Arabidopsis thaliana: one gene and its partners. The protein of the gene in region 3 interacts with the protein of the main gene of each other region in a pairwise test. Each region holds a gene or a part of one and is shown on either strand. Other genes may lie near its edges.

Evidence for each region. Proteins that work in one complex are often made in the same cells at the same time.
Region 1: the proteins of AT1G75140 (region 3) and AT5G47530 interact in a protein complementation assay, tested with the Arabidopsis thaliana proteins (one large-scale study listed by BioGRID).
Region 2: the proteins of AT1G75140 (region 3) and AT2G36430 interact in a protein complementation assay, tested with the Arabidopsis thaliana proteins (one large-scale study listed by BioGRID).

What each region holds. Positions count from the first base shown.
Region 1 is NC_003076.8:19,278,883-19,284,606, reverse strand, and holds AT5G47530 (Auxin-responsive family protein), read right to left. Parts: upstream 3,234-5,724; 5' UTR 3,137-3,233; coding exon 2,510-3,136; intron 2,381-2,509; coding exon 2,126-2,380; intron 2,043-2,125; coding exon 1,737-2,042; 3' UTR 1,546-1,736; downstream 1-1,545. Other genes in the region: AT5G47540 (Mo25 family protein), read left to right, coding at 54-128, 233-326, 425-484, 602-670, 760-858, 936-980, 1,070-1,172, 1,266-1,342. UniProt on the Arabidopsis thaliana protein: May act as a catecholamine-responsive trans-membrane electron transporter.
Region 2 is NC_003071.7:15,287,612-15,293,308, forward strand, and holds AT2G36430 (transmembrane protein, putative (DUF247)), read left to right. Parts: upstream 1-2,363; 5' UTR 2,364-2,599; coding exon 2,600-3,946; 3' UTR 3,947-4,152; downstream 4,153-5,697. Other genes in the region: TRM27 (nucleolin-like protein), read left to right, coding at 613-811, 922-1,379; AT2G36440 (uncharacterized protein), read left to right, coding at 5,037-5,261.
Region 3 is NC_003070.9:28,200,968-28,207,176, forward strand, and holds AT1G75140 (uncharacterized protein), read right to left. Parts: upstream 3,396-6,209; 5' UTR 3,053-3,395; coding exon 1,199-3,052; 3' UTR 1,086-1,198; downstream 1-1,085. Other genes in the region: CYP721A1 (cytochrome P450, family 721, subfamily A, polypeptide 1), read right to left, coding at 57-301, 456-944; AT1G75150 (DNA ligase-like protein), read right to left, coding at 3,742-3,771, 3,891-4,154, 4,229-4,381, 4,510-4,562, 4,664-4,766, 4,913-5,519, 5,776-5,915.

The DNA.
Region 1 (5,724 bases), on a different chromosome or scaffold from region 3:
ATTAAGAGATACCACATTTTATCATTTTTATAGCTTTCCATGTTTTGTGTCAGCTTCGAGAACACAGACATGGCTTTACACTATGGTGCTATGTTTAGGGAGTGTATCCGTCATCAGATTGTGGCTAAGTGAGCCAATCGTTTCATTTTCTTCATTTTACGACCTATGGAGTAATTATGGATTCAGAGAATAACGGAAAATGTGTTTACTAACTTAATTTCTTTGGATTCAGATATGTTTTGGAGTCTGACCATGTGAAGAAATTCTTTGATTACATACAGCTTCCAAATTTCGACATTGCTGCCGATGCTGCTGCTACTTTTAAGGTTCCAAAACAAAACTCGCATTTTTAGCTTGGATCTTTCCCTGTCTGGGACTAGTAAACATGCAATCATAACTCCAAACCTGTCATTTATTTTCACAGGAACTGCTGACAAGGCATAAGTCTACTGTTGCCGAGTTTCTCACCAAGAATGAAGACTGGGTAAGTTATGTAGCAACAATGCACTATGATATATGCTTGAAGACAGAACATTGTAATTTATCCTCTGCAGGTCCTGCGTTCAAGTCGTATAATAATCTCAAACTTTTTGGTTTGCAGTTTTTCGCAGACTACAACTCAAAGCTTCTTGAATCAAGTAATTATATAACCAGACGGCAAGCTATTAAGGTAGGCTAACTTATACAAGAATCTAAAACATTGAAATGATGGTACTGGCTGATCAATCTTATGTACTGTATGGTGTAAATGTTAAACAGTTGTTGGGTGATATATTATTGGATCGATCAAATTCAGCTGTGATGACGAAATATGTGAGCTCGAGGGATAACTTGAGGATTCTCATGAATCTTCTAAGAGTACGATGCTTTACTCTCCGTTTTTTTGTTCTTGATTATAATAGTTTGGGAAATAAACTCAATCGCTTGAATTACAGGAGTCAAGCAAGAGTATCCAAATAGAAGCATTCCATGTCTTTAAGGTACCTACATTAACGAGATGTAACATAATGATGATTGTCACTTGTCAGTCCAACGTGATTGTACTGAGATTATCGTCACTGTTGTGCAGCTGTTTGCAGCGAACCAAAACAAGCCTGCGGATATAGTCAACATTCTGGTGGCCAACAGAAGCAAGCTTCTGAGATTGTTGGCTGATTTGAAACCAGACAAAGGTATGAAACTAATCTTGTTAAGTGAAACGCTTGTATCCGATCCTTCTGCTCCTTAACCTTATTAAAGCATTGTTTGGTTCATTTGGTTGACAGAGGATGAGAGGTTTGAAGCAGACAAAAGTCAGGTTTTGAGAGAAATCGCAGCCCTTGAACCTCGAGATCTTGCTTGAACCAACTAATGCAATTCATCCTTCCTTCCCTTTTAAAACACTCGAAAAGACATTTTTGAAGCATCTTGTTGTTTTTTTACATTAGGTAACCAATCTTCCTCTCACTTTCTCACCACACACACACACACACACACACACACACACACACATACACATACGAGATATCTATTCGATATATGTATTCATATGTACACTACTTCACTGTCGATGAAATAAAATGGTTTGTCAAAAGCTCACATCATGAATGTTGTAAAAGAGCACAAGAGTCTTTCAACTTCAACAACTATTAAACATCAAATGTATTAACTTAATCTCGAAAACAAACAAAAATTAACAACCACAAGCCCATAATGACCAAATAAACCAGAACATTTTACTCTAATCTTTACAGAGTCTACACGTATAGAGACCGACCATCGTTGCCTACTCGTTGACTTGTTTTCGCAGATGCCTCTGCTTTCCCTCTCTTTATGACTACATACCAAGTAAACCCTTCGAGCACAACCGCGACTATACCTAGTACTACGATTATGGCGGTGTAAGCGTTTCTCCACTGCTTCTCAGGGCTCAGGATGTCTAGTCCTTTAAAAACGTTTACCACCGCAAGAATGATCACTGAATAGCCTACAGTGTGGTGATAAATGTTCCAGTAGACTCTGTACTTGTGCTCTGGTTTGGGTCTCAAAAACATTGCAAACACCTAACGTGTGAAACAAGCAACTTAGTAATTGCAACATATTCATGACAAGTGTAATACTCTCTGTACTGTTAACTAAAACCTACCTGAATTGTTGCGAGGCAGAAGAGAGCGATCCCAACAGCACGGTGAAAGGTAAACTGAATCCCGGCTGATTCGTTGCCCAGTTTGAGACCGGTCGCCCAACCGGCAACACCAATGATGTAAGCAGAAGACTGGCAGAAAACATGAAGGTAGAACCAAGCAGGATCTGCTGATTTTGAGACTTTCAAGTAGCGAGCAATGATTGCTCCTATTGGCATCATTATACCCCAGCTCACACCGTTCAATATTCCATGTATCTGCAATAATGATTAGGAGTGATAAGTTTCATAAAACCAACTAACAATGATGGGATTGATAAATCTCATTTCATATGTGAGATTCCTAAAAAACATGAAATGAAGAAATTGATAAAACCATGGACTCACGTTGCGTTTGCGTAGCTTGGAAGCTCCTCCTGCTCCGGTAGAGGTGGATCCAGATGCACCAGAGACAAGGTTAAGAGTAGAAACAGAACGAACATTGTTGCCAGAAGTTGGATGAGGCAGAGGATTGTTCCCTGACAGTGACCCATCTTGCCACACAGTGTTAATGATTCCACCATTCGCAAGTGGAAGATTCAGAATTGCGTAGATGACCATCTCGTTGTTTTGGTAAGTGGCAGACAACTGAGAGACGTTGAAACTCAGCTCAGCTTCTAGGAGACTCGTTTGGTAGCTACTGATGGGTGACGTATAAGCCCTAACGGTGCCGTCTGATTGTGGATAAGCCACAATGGCTTGAGCTCCGACCATGCCAGTAGATGTGGGATTCACGGCCCATGCCACCCATTTCCCGGGGGTGAGCTTTGTGTGGCGATACGCGATTTGGAGATTGCCTGAAGAAGAATCGTAAGTGTAGTGGAGGAAGGAATCAAGAACAGGTAGGTCGTTGCAAGACTCAAAGAGACGGTTGGTGGAGAATTTGTAGTTGGAACATTTCTGAGCCAAGGCGGATTTGGTGATGATGAAAATGAAAAGAGAGAGACAAAGGAGAAGATTTGAGGATATGGCCATGGAAACAGAATCTCGAGTAATGATTAAAAGATGGATGAATGATAAGATTTAAGTATGAAGGGGAAGAGAGGAGAATGAGATTAAGTATGAATAGAAAGTGGAACAAGTAGGGTTTGGTTTGTTAGTTAATCTGTCTTAATACAGAATCTCTAATTCTCTTCACACGTGTCCTTTTTTCATAGTTTAATCTTTCTTTTAATCCTCTGCTTTTGTTCTTGTTCATCTATCAATTGCAATGTTTTACCTAAGAGTAAAAAATAGAAACATTATAAATGAAGCGTTCATTGTTTTCCCAAAAAGGTTTGACGTGTAATGTATTTCTTCCTTAAGAGTCTTTAACCCTCTCAAGCAAAAACCAAGAAATAAAAATATGAAGGGGTCATCTTCACGTTCAAAAACCAGTTCACACCAACTTTATTACGAGAACTCATTTCTCGTGTTTATTTTTTCTTTGTTTGTCATGAAAAATCTTTTTCATTGTATATAGGTTTTGTCATGACATTGCGCGTTAAGTTAGATTATAATCTTGGTACGCTTGGGAATTGGGATGATGATAAATTATTGAGCACACTAAAATATTAGGTTTCATTGGGTTTAGTGGTTCAATTGACGAAAGTAGACTAGCGAAGGGAGTAGTGGTTTTCGCGTAATAAAGGGCAAACACGTCTATGCCTGCAACTACTAACGTTGTGCATGTATGATGTACCCTAAGTAAACATCTACCACCTTATGAGTATGGACTGGAGCGGACCAGACCAACAAACTGTTTATGAGAGATTCCAATCCAAGGGAAGTGGTTGGGTTTAGCTATTTTTAGAGTTATGTTCTTCTATATATAGGCCGCGACCAACATTTCAACGGTTAAGACCATGTACATGAGTGATATTTTTAGAATATCATCAGTGTAAAAATTATTTTTTTATTAACCAAACAATTAGAATGAGTTTGATTAGTATCATTCCAGTGATTTTCTTGATATCAGTATCATCTACGTGACATCTCCTGATTGGTAGCATTTATTAAAAGTAAGAAAAAAAATATTTATCTATTAAACAAACATTATAAATAATACTAAAATTTTTTTAATGATACTTTGAGAATATCACCTATAAGCATGCTCTAACCAGGTGGATGTATAATAATGTCCTTTCTTGGTCAACGCTCAAATTACTACCTGCCACATGTCCCCCACTAGATTCTTTGGTGTAGCTGGGCTCAGTTTGAACTAGACTCTTTTATATGGGCTTAAGTGTTAATTATCAAAAAACAACCCAAAATGAGATATTTAGATATAATATGTTTTTGATGGAAAAAAAGGAAAGATATAATATGTTTTTTTGATGAATGAAAAGTATTACAATTATTCAAAAAATCACTAGTTTCCTGAAAAACAATACAAATTGCATAGTTTCAGAAGGATAATCTGATTTGGGTAGAGTTTGTTGATGTTAGAAATATAAATATTTTCTTTTATAAATAAAATAGGATGGAAAATCCATCATATTTGAAAGTTTTGTTGTGTCTAATAAATAACAGTAGAGTGTACATAATCGGTAACTTTTTTTTCCTTAACTAAAATTTTAAGTGAAACTAAAACAAAGGTGGTAAAAAAAAGTAGAGCCTATGGTAAAATAGGGTAAGAGGGTCCATAAGGGCCCAAGATGTTTTATTTTTGCTGAGCCCATTATTACCAATCCGAACCGAAATGGAAAAACTCCGGTCTCTTTCTTTCTCTCTCTCTCTGCCAGAGTTACTGCGTGTCTTTGATTTCCCAGAAGAAGGCGTTGAATCCTTTCGTTTTCCGATTCCATTTTTGGGATCTCTTGTTTCGTTTTCTTCTCTTTGGATCCATTCCATTCCCATGTTCCCCAATTTCTTTAATCGGTGTTGCTTCCACAAGGTAATTTTGTTTTCCTCTGCACTTCCCGAGAATAAAGAGAAGGTTTTTCTCAATTTTCCCCTTATGATTATCCCTGTAAATGCGAGTTTTTTGTCCTGTTTTGTCTAATGGGTCTTCATAATTCGTGATCATCAACGTTTTCTCTGTCTTGTGTGTGTATGTATGTGTGTGATCTTACATCTGACGGGAATGTAATGTGATGATCTCTCATGTAAAATTCTGTTTTTACTTGGTTTGATTGTTTCTATTACAATGCTCTGTTTTTGCTTTAAAGAGTTCTTACAATATCTCCTCCTTCTCTTTTGCGAAAATGGGTTCTTACTTGGGTTTAGTTTCTTAGGTGAAGTTTCGATTATTTTTTTGAATTGGTGTTTTATAAGTTTTGATGTCTCATCATCTTTTTCAGAAAGAAATGTGTGGCCTACTTTCATTTTCTAATGCCGTATATGAAGATTTTCATATTCAGGCAGATATTATAAACCTGCAGCAATCATTAACTCGATTCATCTTTAATGTGAGCCCTAAGGACAAGACTGAGAATTTTCTATCAGTGTTTAAGATTGCACTTTGTGTGATCAAGTGAATGAGTATTGTTGGTTGAATTGGGCCCGCGCTTGTCTTTTCTGTCTCAATTCTGTTTCTCCTTATGATAGAGAGAATATTTCTCTGCTTTCCTATTGGTGGCTTT
Region 2 (5,697 bases), on a different chromosome or scaffold from region 3:
GTAAATATGTTTTACTTTAGATGACGGATATGCCCCTATTTCCGAGTGAAAATCTATCGTAGAGCTTGGTTATGGTGGGGGTGCTTATGTCATTTACAATCATCTGGTCAACGTTCCCCACACTGACGATTATTGCGCTCTCTAGCTAGTTCAACTTCGAAGTTTTCAAACCAATTAATTTTCTGGCAAATTACCAGAAACACATTTTTCTACTCCTTTTAATTTCAGTGGGTTAAGTCTTAATGTAGACCAAACCTTTTGCAATTATTAGCTACAAACTCTGAGAATGTCATTAACTTTCGCCAAAAAGTTTCAATGTTTTGTCAAAAAGTTGGGATCTATTTTGGGAAGTATTAATTGGTATGTTTACAAAATTCAAAAGTTAAATTTACCCTACTTTGTGGTTGTAGTTTTAAAAAAAAATGCATAGTAAAAAAAAGTAGTGTTCCGAAAATATATATATAGGTAACATGGAGAAACCCTTAATGGGCACGTAAAGTAGTGCCATGAGGATATAAATTTGAATTGCTAAAAATAGTAGTGATCCAGCGCCAGAAATAGTAAGAGACAAAAAATGTTGAAACCAAAAGTGTGTTAAATGAGTTGTAACAGGACGAAGATAGCGATGAGACAGAGAGCTTAGAGAAAGTGAGAGGACAAGAAGAAGAAGATAAAGAAGAGGAAGACAAGGAACAATGTAGCCCTGTCTCTGTACTTGACCCTCTTGAGGAGGAGGAGGAGGACGAGGACCACCACCAACACGAGCCTGATCCTCCCAATAACCTCTCTTGCAGCTTTGAAATTGTACAACGTGAGTATCCAATCTTCCATCACATCAAATAATGGGCCAAAGTAATTGAATACAAACTGGTCCCGGAGATCGTTTTAAGGGTTTTAATGTTGTATGTTTTGACTAAACAGGGGCTAAAAGGCGGTTACTCAAGAAGCTTCGTAGATTCGAGAAGTTAGCGGGGCTGGATCCTGTGGAGCTTGAAGGGAAAATGTCGGAAGAAGAAGATGAAGAAGAGGAAGAGTATGAGGAGAGCGAGGAAGATGATAACATTAGGATTTACGATTCAGATGAAGAATATGAGGACGTGGATGAAGCGATGGCACGAGAGAGCAGATGCGCGGAAGATGAGAAGAGGAAGAAGAATGATGAGAGGCAAAAGAAGTGGAGGATGATGAATGCATGGAGGGTAGGGTTGGGAGCTGAGGAAGACGTGGACGCGGTGGTGCGGAAAGATTTGAGAGAGGAGGCCGGAGAATGGACAAGACACGGTGGAGAAGTGGAAGAGGCTGTGTCCGATCTCGAGCACTCTATCTTCTTCGTCTTGATTGATGAATTTTCCCGCGAACTTGTCTCTTCTTTTCTATGAACAAATAATGAATTTTGTTAAGAGACACGAGAAAAATTAGTAGATTTTTAGATATCATTGACTTGATAAACCAGAATAACCTTTATAACGTTTACCCTGTGTTTTCTTATCACTTAAAACGCTTCTAGAAAAAGTCACAAGTCACAACGATAAGCGACCATTGGCTTATGCCAAGCTAGTACTAGGAAATTTTATTTTGCTCAAAGCCTTAACCAACTATATATACGCTTCCTTTTTTCCCCCCAAAGCTACTATACGCTTTTTCTTCTTTCCCAAACAACTATACGCTTTAGGTTATTTGATTTGGTTTGGTTTATCTGGTTGATCATTCATACTCCCAAAACAAATTAGATCATGCCTATACAATTTTCATGCCTAATTAAAAAAACTCACATTGAAGGACTAGGAAAGGTACCCACGTCTGAATTGCGTGTTCCTCACGAACGAATGAAATTTCATTTTGATATACGTATTTATTGTTATTTAGTCATACGTATGAACGTAACACGTTACAACAATATATATCTCTACTACATAGTATTATCTTCTGTTTTTATATTACCAACATATTTTTGCTTAAAATCATTGCCTAACATATGTTCTTTTTTATATGGATTGGTTTGTTATACATGATATTATGTCAAATTAGTAATATTATTACTGAAAATACCAATTTACAAACGGATTGATTGATTTGTGTTATTTCAAATGTAAATTTGTTAACAATTTGTTATATAAAAAAACTGCCAAATTATTTTGTTTGTGAATAATGATTTTAGGGTCGGGTTCGGACATTTAAGAATAAGGCTTCACTCGGACTCGGACATGGCTGTCCCCTGACACTTACGTGATACCAACTGATACTTTCTAACATATTATCTATCTTATATAATGTTTATTGGGGGAATACTGTATCACTTTCTTATAACTCTAGAGATAAAACATTAAGAAAAATCTCTACTAGTTCTTCAAAAACAATTCGGAGCGAGAACATGGATGGACCAAGTCATGAACCATGACTATTAATTAAGTCTTCATTGAAAAATCTACATCAAAGTTTTAAATAAATAATATCAAGCTTAAAATGAACCACCTTCCATTATGTGACGATGATGTGGACCAACAAAAGAAATATACCAATCACAAAGACCAGTTTAGTCCCAAAACTACCCCTTATCACTTTTTTATAGATCATTTCCATTAATTTCACACCAATCAAAATGGTGGATGCGGCGGAGCAACCACCTTCTACCTCCGAGGGAGAAAGCCTCCTCAAGATCCACATTGAGAGGATGCATAAGAAGCTGAAGGAACCACCACGGTTGCTCAGTTCGGCCGCCGGGAAACCTACTTGCTCCATCTTCCGGGTACCTCAGAGCATGATTGATTGTAATGGAAGATGCTATGAGCCACGAGTGGTCTCGATTGGACCGTACCACCGTGGCCAAACACAACTCAAAATGATTGAAGAACACAAATGGCGTTACCTAAACGTTCTGCTCACTAGAACCCAAAACCTAACTCTAGAGGATTACATGAAGAGCGTGAAGAACGTTGAGGAAGTGGCGAGAGAATGTTACTCCGAGACAATCCACATGGACTCGGAAGAGTTCAACGAGATGATGGTTCTTGACGGTTGCTTTCTCCTTGAGCTGTTTCGCAAAGTGAACAATCTTGTTCCTTTCGAACCAAACGATCCACTTGTGGCCATGGCTTGGGTTCTTCCTTTCTTCTACAGAGATTTTCTCTGTCTTGAGAATCAAATCCCTTTCTTCGTTCTAGAAACTTTGTTCAATCTCACAAGAGGAGACAACGAAAACGAGACAAACGCTTCTTTACAATCTCTAGCGTTTGCGTTTTTCAACAACATGATGCACAGAACAGAGGAAGATCTCGCCAGGTTCAAAGAGCTAAGAGCCAAACACCTCCTCGACCTCCTCCGGTCAAGTTTCATCCCGGAGAGTGAGCTTCACACGCCGCCGGCAACGAATCCAGGGAAGGAAAAGATGCCGTCCCACATTATCCACAGCATTTCGAAGCTCCGGCGAGCCGGGATCAAACTCCGAGAGCTGAAAGACGCAGAGAGCTTCTTAGTGGTGAGATTCAGACACGGGACCATCGAGATGCCGGCGATCACCGTCGACGATTTCATGAGCAGTTTCTTAGAGAACTGCGTGGCATACGAGCAATGCCACGTGGCGTGCTCAATGCATTTCACGACATACGCGACGCTCCTAGATTGTCTGACGAATACTTACAAGGACGTTGAGTATCTATGCGACCAAAACATCATAGAAAACTATTTCGGAACAGATACAGAGCTGGCGAAATTCGTGAACAGTTTAGGCAGAGATGTGGCGTTCGACATAACACAGTGTTATCTCAAAGACTTGTTTGAAGAAGTGAATGAGTATTACAAGAGTAGTTGGCACGTGGAATGGGCTACTTTCAAATTCACTTACTTTAACTCTCCTTGGTCTTTTGTCTCTGCTCTTGCTGCTCTTGTTCTTTTGGTCTTGTCCGTTATCCAGACTATTTACACTGTTTTCCAGGCTTATCAAAAATAAATTTTTCAACCTTTTCATTATTATATTGCAGTTCAAACAAATGTGTTGATATGATTTAATGAAGTAAAATGAGAATTCGTGTATTTAAAACCCTACTTCTATTATTGAGTAGTACAATTATGTGTTTGTTGGGATTAGTTGTCCAAACATGCATCGATAGTGTTTTTCGAGTAATAAATAAATGATGTTGAGATGTATCATGTATGATATATTTTTTTTCCAGAAAAATTGGTTTACATTATTAAAAGATTATACGAGATGAGATTGTGTATCAAGAGAGTTATAAATATTAATGACAACTATTCTATAATTCAATAAATAAAGGGTTCAATTATTAGCAAAAATACGTGTTTGTTTGATAGGTTGACTGCAGGAATTGGTCAATTTAGTAGAAATGTCAACGATCCTCAATGTTTCAGTCAACGAACAGCTCATGCTTCATAAATCAAAGTGAATAGTAAAACCCTGGACTTTTGGTAATTTCCTGTAACTAACATAATAACATTTGACACATATTTTATTTCCATATCTGGAACTTTCTGACCAAATATTTAGTACTTTTACATAATCAATGCATAAAAATAAAAAAATTGATTCGGTGCTTCATTCTAAATATTGAATTAAAGAATGCAATCTTGTCGTGATAATGTGTTAACGTAAATCTATCTATCAGGACTAATTTCCCTCTGCTATGAACGTTAAAAACTTTGTTTAGACAAATGATTTATTTTGAATATTAATATATAGAAATCATCCATAAAAATGATCAAACATGCGAAGAGGGGAATCCGAGTATGAGTACTGAAGACTTTTCCCACGACTCTCGAAATAACTATGTTTGAGTTTCTTTTTACCAAGTCTCTCGAAAAAGACTCGGTCGTAATTTCTTCTTCTTCAAATAATGTCTTAACTTAAGCAAGCCGCAATGCATATATAAACACACAATCCAATACACATTTTTCAAGAAACATACATAAATTCCACAACTACACACAATCCAAATATACTTTTGATATTCTCCTTCATCTTAAATATCGTTTCCAAGCTCGTCATTTTGTGAAATCATTCTCGTTTTTACACGAACGCAATAATGAGCGGCAAAACATCGATCACTAGCAGGTCAGACGAATTTCAAAGGCAGATAGATCATAAAGAGATGCCTCGAGATCACCAAATTGAAAGGCACACTCATATTCACACGACGCGTTACCGAGGGGGCAGTCTAGTTGAGGAGGTCATCGAGAAGCTTGAGAGATTCAAAGTACGTACGGTTAACATCTTGGTGGGAGGAGAAGATGACGAACAGAAGAAATAAAACAATTACCAAATATTCAAATTCATTCATTCATTCATTTCTAACCAACAAGACTATTTACCTATTCATTGGTCTTCTTTTTATTTTGAAGCTATTTAAAAGGTGAAATAGTGTTTTAATGGGTTGTATGGGTTACGAAGGCTGCAAGTTTTTTCTTTCTTTTTTTCTTTTTTATAGTTTTAAATACCCAAATAGTTCAAATGTATGTAATATGCATGAATGCATCAATTTCTTTCATACGTATGAAAATGTTACCCTTAAATAACCTGTTGGAACTTGGAACATATGTAATTTTGATGTACAAATTCGGATGATTTGCTTTGTTTTCAAGCATCTTTATAGTTCAGAATAAATTCAAAACTCTAAAGTTTTGATTTAACTAGAATGCAAAATATATTCATTTATAATATTTAAAAACTGTAACCTAAAAGAAAAG
Region 3 (6,209 bases):
AAGGTTCTAGTTCCAAACTTGTTCTCAAAACTAGGAAAATTTCCCATAAGACTTACCTGAATCCTGGGATATAAACGCTCCATCGAACCAGATAAAAAAGACGCATCATACGCTCCTGCAATTCAAAGATTCCTTTCCCTTCTTCCACGCTGTTCCCAAAAGCTGTTCTTGATAACATTTCTGCAGACAAATTGTGCATCTCTTTGTGTACCTCTAACTCAATCTCTTCTCCTCCGTTTCTCATATCTTCCCACTTCTCCATCAACATCATAGTACTTGTTACCATTTGTGGCACCCACCTCTATAAAAGAAAAAAAGATCTTAGCTTTAGCCACAATCCTATAAAGCACTCCGGATTTGGTAATTTTTAAACTAAACTAGACTGAGATTCCAAATAGCACAATGTTGTCTGAATTACAGATCTTAGCTTCTACATTGATGTGTGTTAGTGTTACCTTGAGTTTCTCCATTGTAAAAGCTTGTTTGGCGATTCTTCTATGGAAAGCCCATTGATCACCTCTAAGACCAGGAAGACCTTGAGCATAAAGCAGCTTAGACAAAGGGTTATGCCCAATTCGGTCAAACGACCCACCCGTCGTCAAAGCTTCCCGGATTAGTCTTGGATCCGACGTAGCCACCACAGGTTTCGACCCGAACCAGTAGAGGAACGTCTTCCCGTAGACACGTGACCATTCGTGGTAGTGAGGCGCCACACGGTGGACGAACTCATGAGGATTTCTCCCGGAAGGAATCGGCTTTGACTTCGCCTCCGCCGTTAGCCGGCTAACCTCGCCGGAGTTTCCACTGAATATCCGGTAACTAGGACCCGTCACGCTCTGCTTCTTGAAGTGAGATTGGATTCTCCACGGAACCCATATATTACTGTAGATGAATCTGAAGACAAGGAAGAAAAAGACCAAGACCAAGATGAAGAACACTGCCATATCTTGACGTGTTAACCTCAAGTCTCTCTCTGGTTCAGTTTCATTTATTTGATCTTGAATTTTTTTTAATCTGTTCTTAATCTTGAGATTGTGAAAATTACAGTTAAGAAGCATTAAACTAACAATAAGTGACCGGAGAAGAAACAAAGCAACCGGTAAAAATTTTATTTCTTCGCCGGAGTTTTACACATTAGAAAATTTTCAAGCGTTGACCGGTAAAAAAAGAACATAACGAACTATGAAAAAAAAAGGAACTAACTTTCGTCGTCTAAAGCTTTGTTATTACCAAACAAACTCTCTCTTCTTTTACCAAATCCGCCAGAATCAAGACCTGACCCACCACGATACTTCATCTCCTGTGCGGTTGTTCTGTAGTTAGTAGTTTCCACTGGAGCTCTTGAGCTCGGGTCGTTAGACCCTACTGAACGGTAAGCACCTGTTGCTGCTCCAGGAGGATACCGAGATGGCGAAACGTATCTTCTCCGAAGATCCATGTGGTCGTCGTTTCTCCTAGTTGATTCAGAGAATGCGGAACTATTTTGTGCAGTTGTTGTAGAAGAAGAAGACATTGTCGTGGAGGAGAAAGGATCGTCAGGTCCCCAAGCTGTGAGAGATTCTTTCTTCTTAGAGAAAAAATGCCAAGCGCCGAATAAGAAAAGTATGAAGAAGAAGACAGGACTGCTCCAAAGCATTGTGTTGAATTCTGCTTTGGAGATTGGAAGCTTTGATTTGTATGTAGCTACGTATCCGTCTCCTAAACCCATCACAAGCAGCTTTTCGCGGTCGCTTGCTATTAAAGGAGTTACCTTTTCTAGCTTCTGGTGATCTGTGGTTTTAGTTGATTCTCGATGGCTCAAGAACGTTGACCTGATATCTTCTAATGCAGCCGGAAAAAGAAGCCGAGGACCCGTGGTTCGGACGTAGTGTTGAGTCGATACATTGTATACAAAGACTTTCTCTTGGTTGACTATAAGTAGATAGCCTTTGATGGCTTGTAACGCTACAGGCTCCTCCATTTGTACCTTCTTCTTTGATCTCACTCTACATTTGAAGTTCATAATGTCTCCGAGAAGCAACACGTGAATGATTTCGCCTTCGGATGTGAATCCATAAGCTTTAGCCCGTTCGGACGCATCAAAAACATAACTTCTTGCTAGAGAATGGTTAAGACCTTCACACTCAGATTCCCTGATCTTCATGCTTCTTAAGTCCAATGAACCAGCACCAGTCTCAGTGAGAAACAAAAGCCTCTGCTTCAAGAACACAAGCGGTCTACTCGTTGGGCTAACAGAGCCATAAACCGTTCTGTTCTCAGTGAAAACCGTAAGCTTTCCGCTAAGATCTGTCGCCAATATATACCTAACCCGACCCACATGATGCACTTCCAATAGAGTCACTTGCAAACCATCCTCCGTGCCATCAAACTTGCCAACATTTTCCATCACAGCGGAATTCAAATCTTCCCCGATCGAGCCCTCTCGGAGTCTATGCAACAAGATGACTCCGCTTTGGTGTCCCGTCACCACAAAGCTCTCATTCTTATACACAGACATGTAAGACACCATTGCCGTGATTGGTGAATCGCAGGTGGTGAAAAACTCAACCAAAACATCGCCATTTCTCAAGAAGACAAAAACCCTACCACTTGAATCTCCAACTGCGAAATACTTGCTTAAACCTTCGTGATCTCGAAACGGTAACACGTTGATACAAGTCGCTTCAGAGTCTAATTTCACAGCTGATGTGAATTCGAATCTCTCAGACCAGAAAGGACTATACTTTGTAACGGAAAAAGCCTTAGCTTTCTCTTCGATCTCATCACGAGTGATCTCTTTCTTTACCTTAAACGGAGTTTCAGATAACTTAGCGTCTAATCTAGCAACTAGTTCCGTAAGATTCCTAACGAGTTCCTCAAGTCTATGCAATGAAACACCTTGCCTGTCGGATTCACTGCTGGTCACTACTCCAGGAGAAGCATCTGAGTTCTCGTACGGAATCGGATCGGACTCGGAAGCGGTGACATCCGAATAAGACGGCGAAAGGAAAAGCAAAATAAGCGAGACAAAGAAGAAGAAAAATGCGGACTTGCCGTTTTGAGAATCCGCCATTCAAGATGGTAAGAAAAGAAGCAGAAAGGTCTCCCTTTTATTTTCCTGAAGTCAATCAGTAACCGCCATTTATGCAGATCTACAGGAGATGGAGAAATTCGGATCTGGAAGGAAGACGATTTATCCGGTCAGAATCTATCTGAGATTTTCTTTTGTAAGTCAAACAACGTTGAGCTAAGAGTAATAAAATAAAGTTGTCTGATTTGAGATCTTTTTGTGTCCGAAACTCTATAGTCTCTGGTCTTCTTCTTCAGTCTCAACGAAGCTTAAGGGGAAGAAAGGAGATATATCCTTACGATTTTAATCTTTGGGATGAAAGAAAAGTCACCAGGTTAAGATATTTATTCAGTAAATTACAACATGTGATAAAAACTGTTTGCTTTAATGGATGTTAGTTGAATGATTCTTGAATAGAATCCTATCCATTATAAAGAAATAGTATAGTGTAGACATTGAATATATAAAACAAAACTTTGAATAGAAAATTCTGATCTCAATCTCTAAGAAAAGATTCGAATGACTAAGACGGACGATCTAATCTCTCGCTAAAGTCTCTGTAGTTACAGCAACCAACCTATGTACTTGAGAATCGAGACTGAGTCTGATCAGATAAAGGCCAAAACGCGCGGTCCTACGCCGTTTTGGTGGCCACATGTTAACAAAAAGGGTCACGATCCAGTGATTCACGTTCATTCACCACACGTGCCGTTGCATTGCAACTGTGCAAGACAAAATCTCTGAATTCATCTCTTTTCCTGTTAAATATTCCATTTTACTTGGAGAAATGGAGATCTGATTATACAAGAATAACATTCAATTAGAGGAAGAGGGAGTTTACTTGTGGATTTGTCTTAACTGGTTTCTTATCCAGTTTGAAAGCAGCAAATATAGACTCAGTGTGGTTGCTGCTTATCATTGTCTCGCGTGAATTGAAGGAAGTTTTCTTTGATGACATCTTTAGAATCTCGTACAAGGTTGATCGTTGCCTCGTGCTCGTCTCCTTCTCCACCACCGTCGCCTGTAATGTTGTTGATCTCTCTTGTGACTGTGAGGCAGTGAATTTTGCTGGAGCTCTTTTTGGTCGGCTTTTTTCTTGAATAATCTGCATAGGTTATTAAGAAGGTATTTAAATATGTGTACCAGAAATGTGTATGTTTATATAGGGAAGAGCTTTACCGTCTCTGGAACTGAAGGTTCCTCTGCCACTGAATTTGAGCTTTTGCTGTTACTGTCATCGCGTTCGAATATATAGCCACGTACAACATTTGAACCGCGCTTGCGAGATCCTTCTGATATGGAACTCTTTGTAAGTCTACCCAAGAACGATGACTGCAAAAGATTCACGGCATTAGTAAAGTTGCAATTCATTGTCCTATTTTTAAGAAGTCTCAAAGTGTGACCTATCTAGTATCTACGAACTTTATTGGTATACGAAAGTAACTGAAGAAGGCTTATACCTTGGATGCTGCAGGGTTTTTGTTTATTTCCATGAGTGCCCTCTCTTTAAAAGCTGAAAACAATTTAAACAAAATGGTTAGAAGCAATCAGCAATGTGTGTATAAACTCAGCTGATGATTACAAATACAGGGAGAAACTTGGGTGGTATCTTACAAGAAGGTTTTGCTTTCTTCTTGATCTCAGGCTTCTTGATGTGGCGAAGAATTTCTTCAGAGTTTTCATCCGCAGTGGATGATGAAGACTTGGCCTTTAGCTCCTGTTCCAAACAACAATGATCCATATTAATGGGGCAGCACAAGCGAAACATCAAACAAGCTTTTCAATCTTTACTATATAGAGAGGTATGGTGGATCAAATGATAAAATATGGAGCAGACAGGGCTATTGAACCGGGATCACTTACCATTTTCTTGTACAGTCGCTGTTGCAGAAGCTTCTTTTCCATTTCCTCATCGTCTGATGACACATAAACATCATCTTCATCTGTGAACATTAAAGGGATCATTTCCTTTATTTTCTTTATGGTCATTCGCATGGAATTTGCATGACTTGGATCTTCTTCATCTTCATCTTCATCTTCATCTTCATTGGCTTCAGGTTTTTGCACTTCTTCACCATCAGCACCTTCAGGCCTCTCTTCATCATCATCATCAACATCGTCATCTTCATCTTCAGACAATAATGTTTCATCATGCTGCACACCACGTTTAAGCTTCTGTAAGAGTTTCTCTGTCCCTGCAGCATCTTGTTGCTCGAGCCACTTCTGATGCAGTTCATTACGTCTATCTTTATCAGTTGGATCTTCCTTAAATTGACTGACAATCATATCCCTGAGATCATCATCGTCTTCATCTTCGTCATCATCCTCATCCTCAAATCGGAGTAAATCATTGTCACTGTCATCTTCCTCTTCAGCATCCTCATCAATAAATTTTCTAACAGGGTCGCCAGGAGAATCATGGATCTCCGGATCAGAATTTCCCTTTATGTACTCTGCTTCTTCGGAAGATCTGCAGATGTGGATTAGTTATTGCATGGAAAGCAAAGTATACACAGTATAACTTAACATTACAGAAACAATTGGCTCTTCTGGTCATATCACAGAACACAAGCTATTCATATACTGAAAGTAACATCTGTCCATAATATTCTTATGAACATGTAAAGACTGCGTTTTGAGAAGCTTGCCAATATTAGATAGACGAGCAAATCAAAGTTATAGTCAATTCAGTTTTCGCATGTAACCACATCTAAAGATAGACTCACTTGTCAGGCACAGGAGACAGGTTTAGTTTGAGGTTCATGGCAACTACCGACGGTGTCATTACTTCTTCCAAAGATCTGCTTGACATCTTCTCAAGAAGTTCATCTCCAGAGTTAATCGTTTGTGGACACACGGATGGATCCTAACCAAAAAAGGAAAAAAACTGAGAGAGTCAGCTTGAAACCTGAATTTACAAACTAGCCTTTGAACCACAGCATAAATTTAGCATTTGTAACGTGGAAACGAAATGAGCCATTCAAATTATCTGCAGATGGGGTTAACATAATGGAAATGTAGGTATATATAGTTACAGGTTTTAATCTTCAAATGTTTGAACTTTATACTAAGTCTGGACTCTCGAGAAGAATTCAAATATCACAAAACTTTGATTAAGGACCTCAAAATCCAAAACTAAATCAACAAAAACAGAAAACAA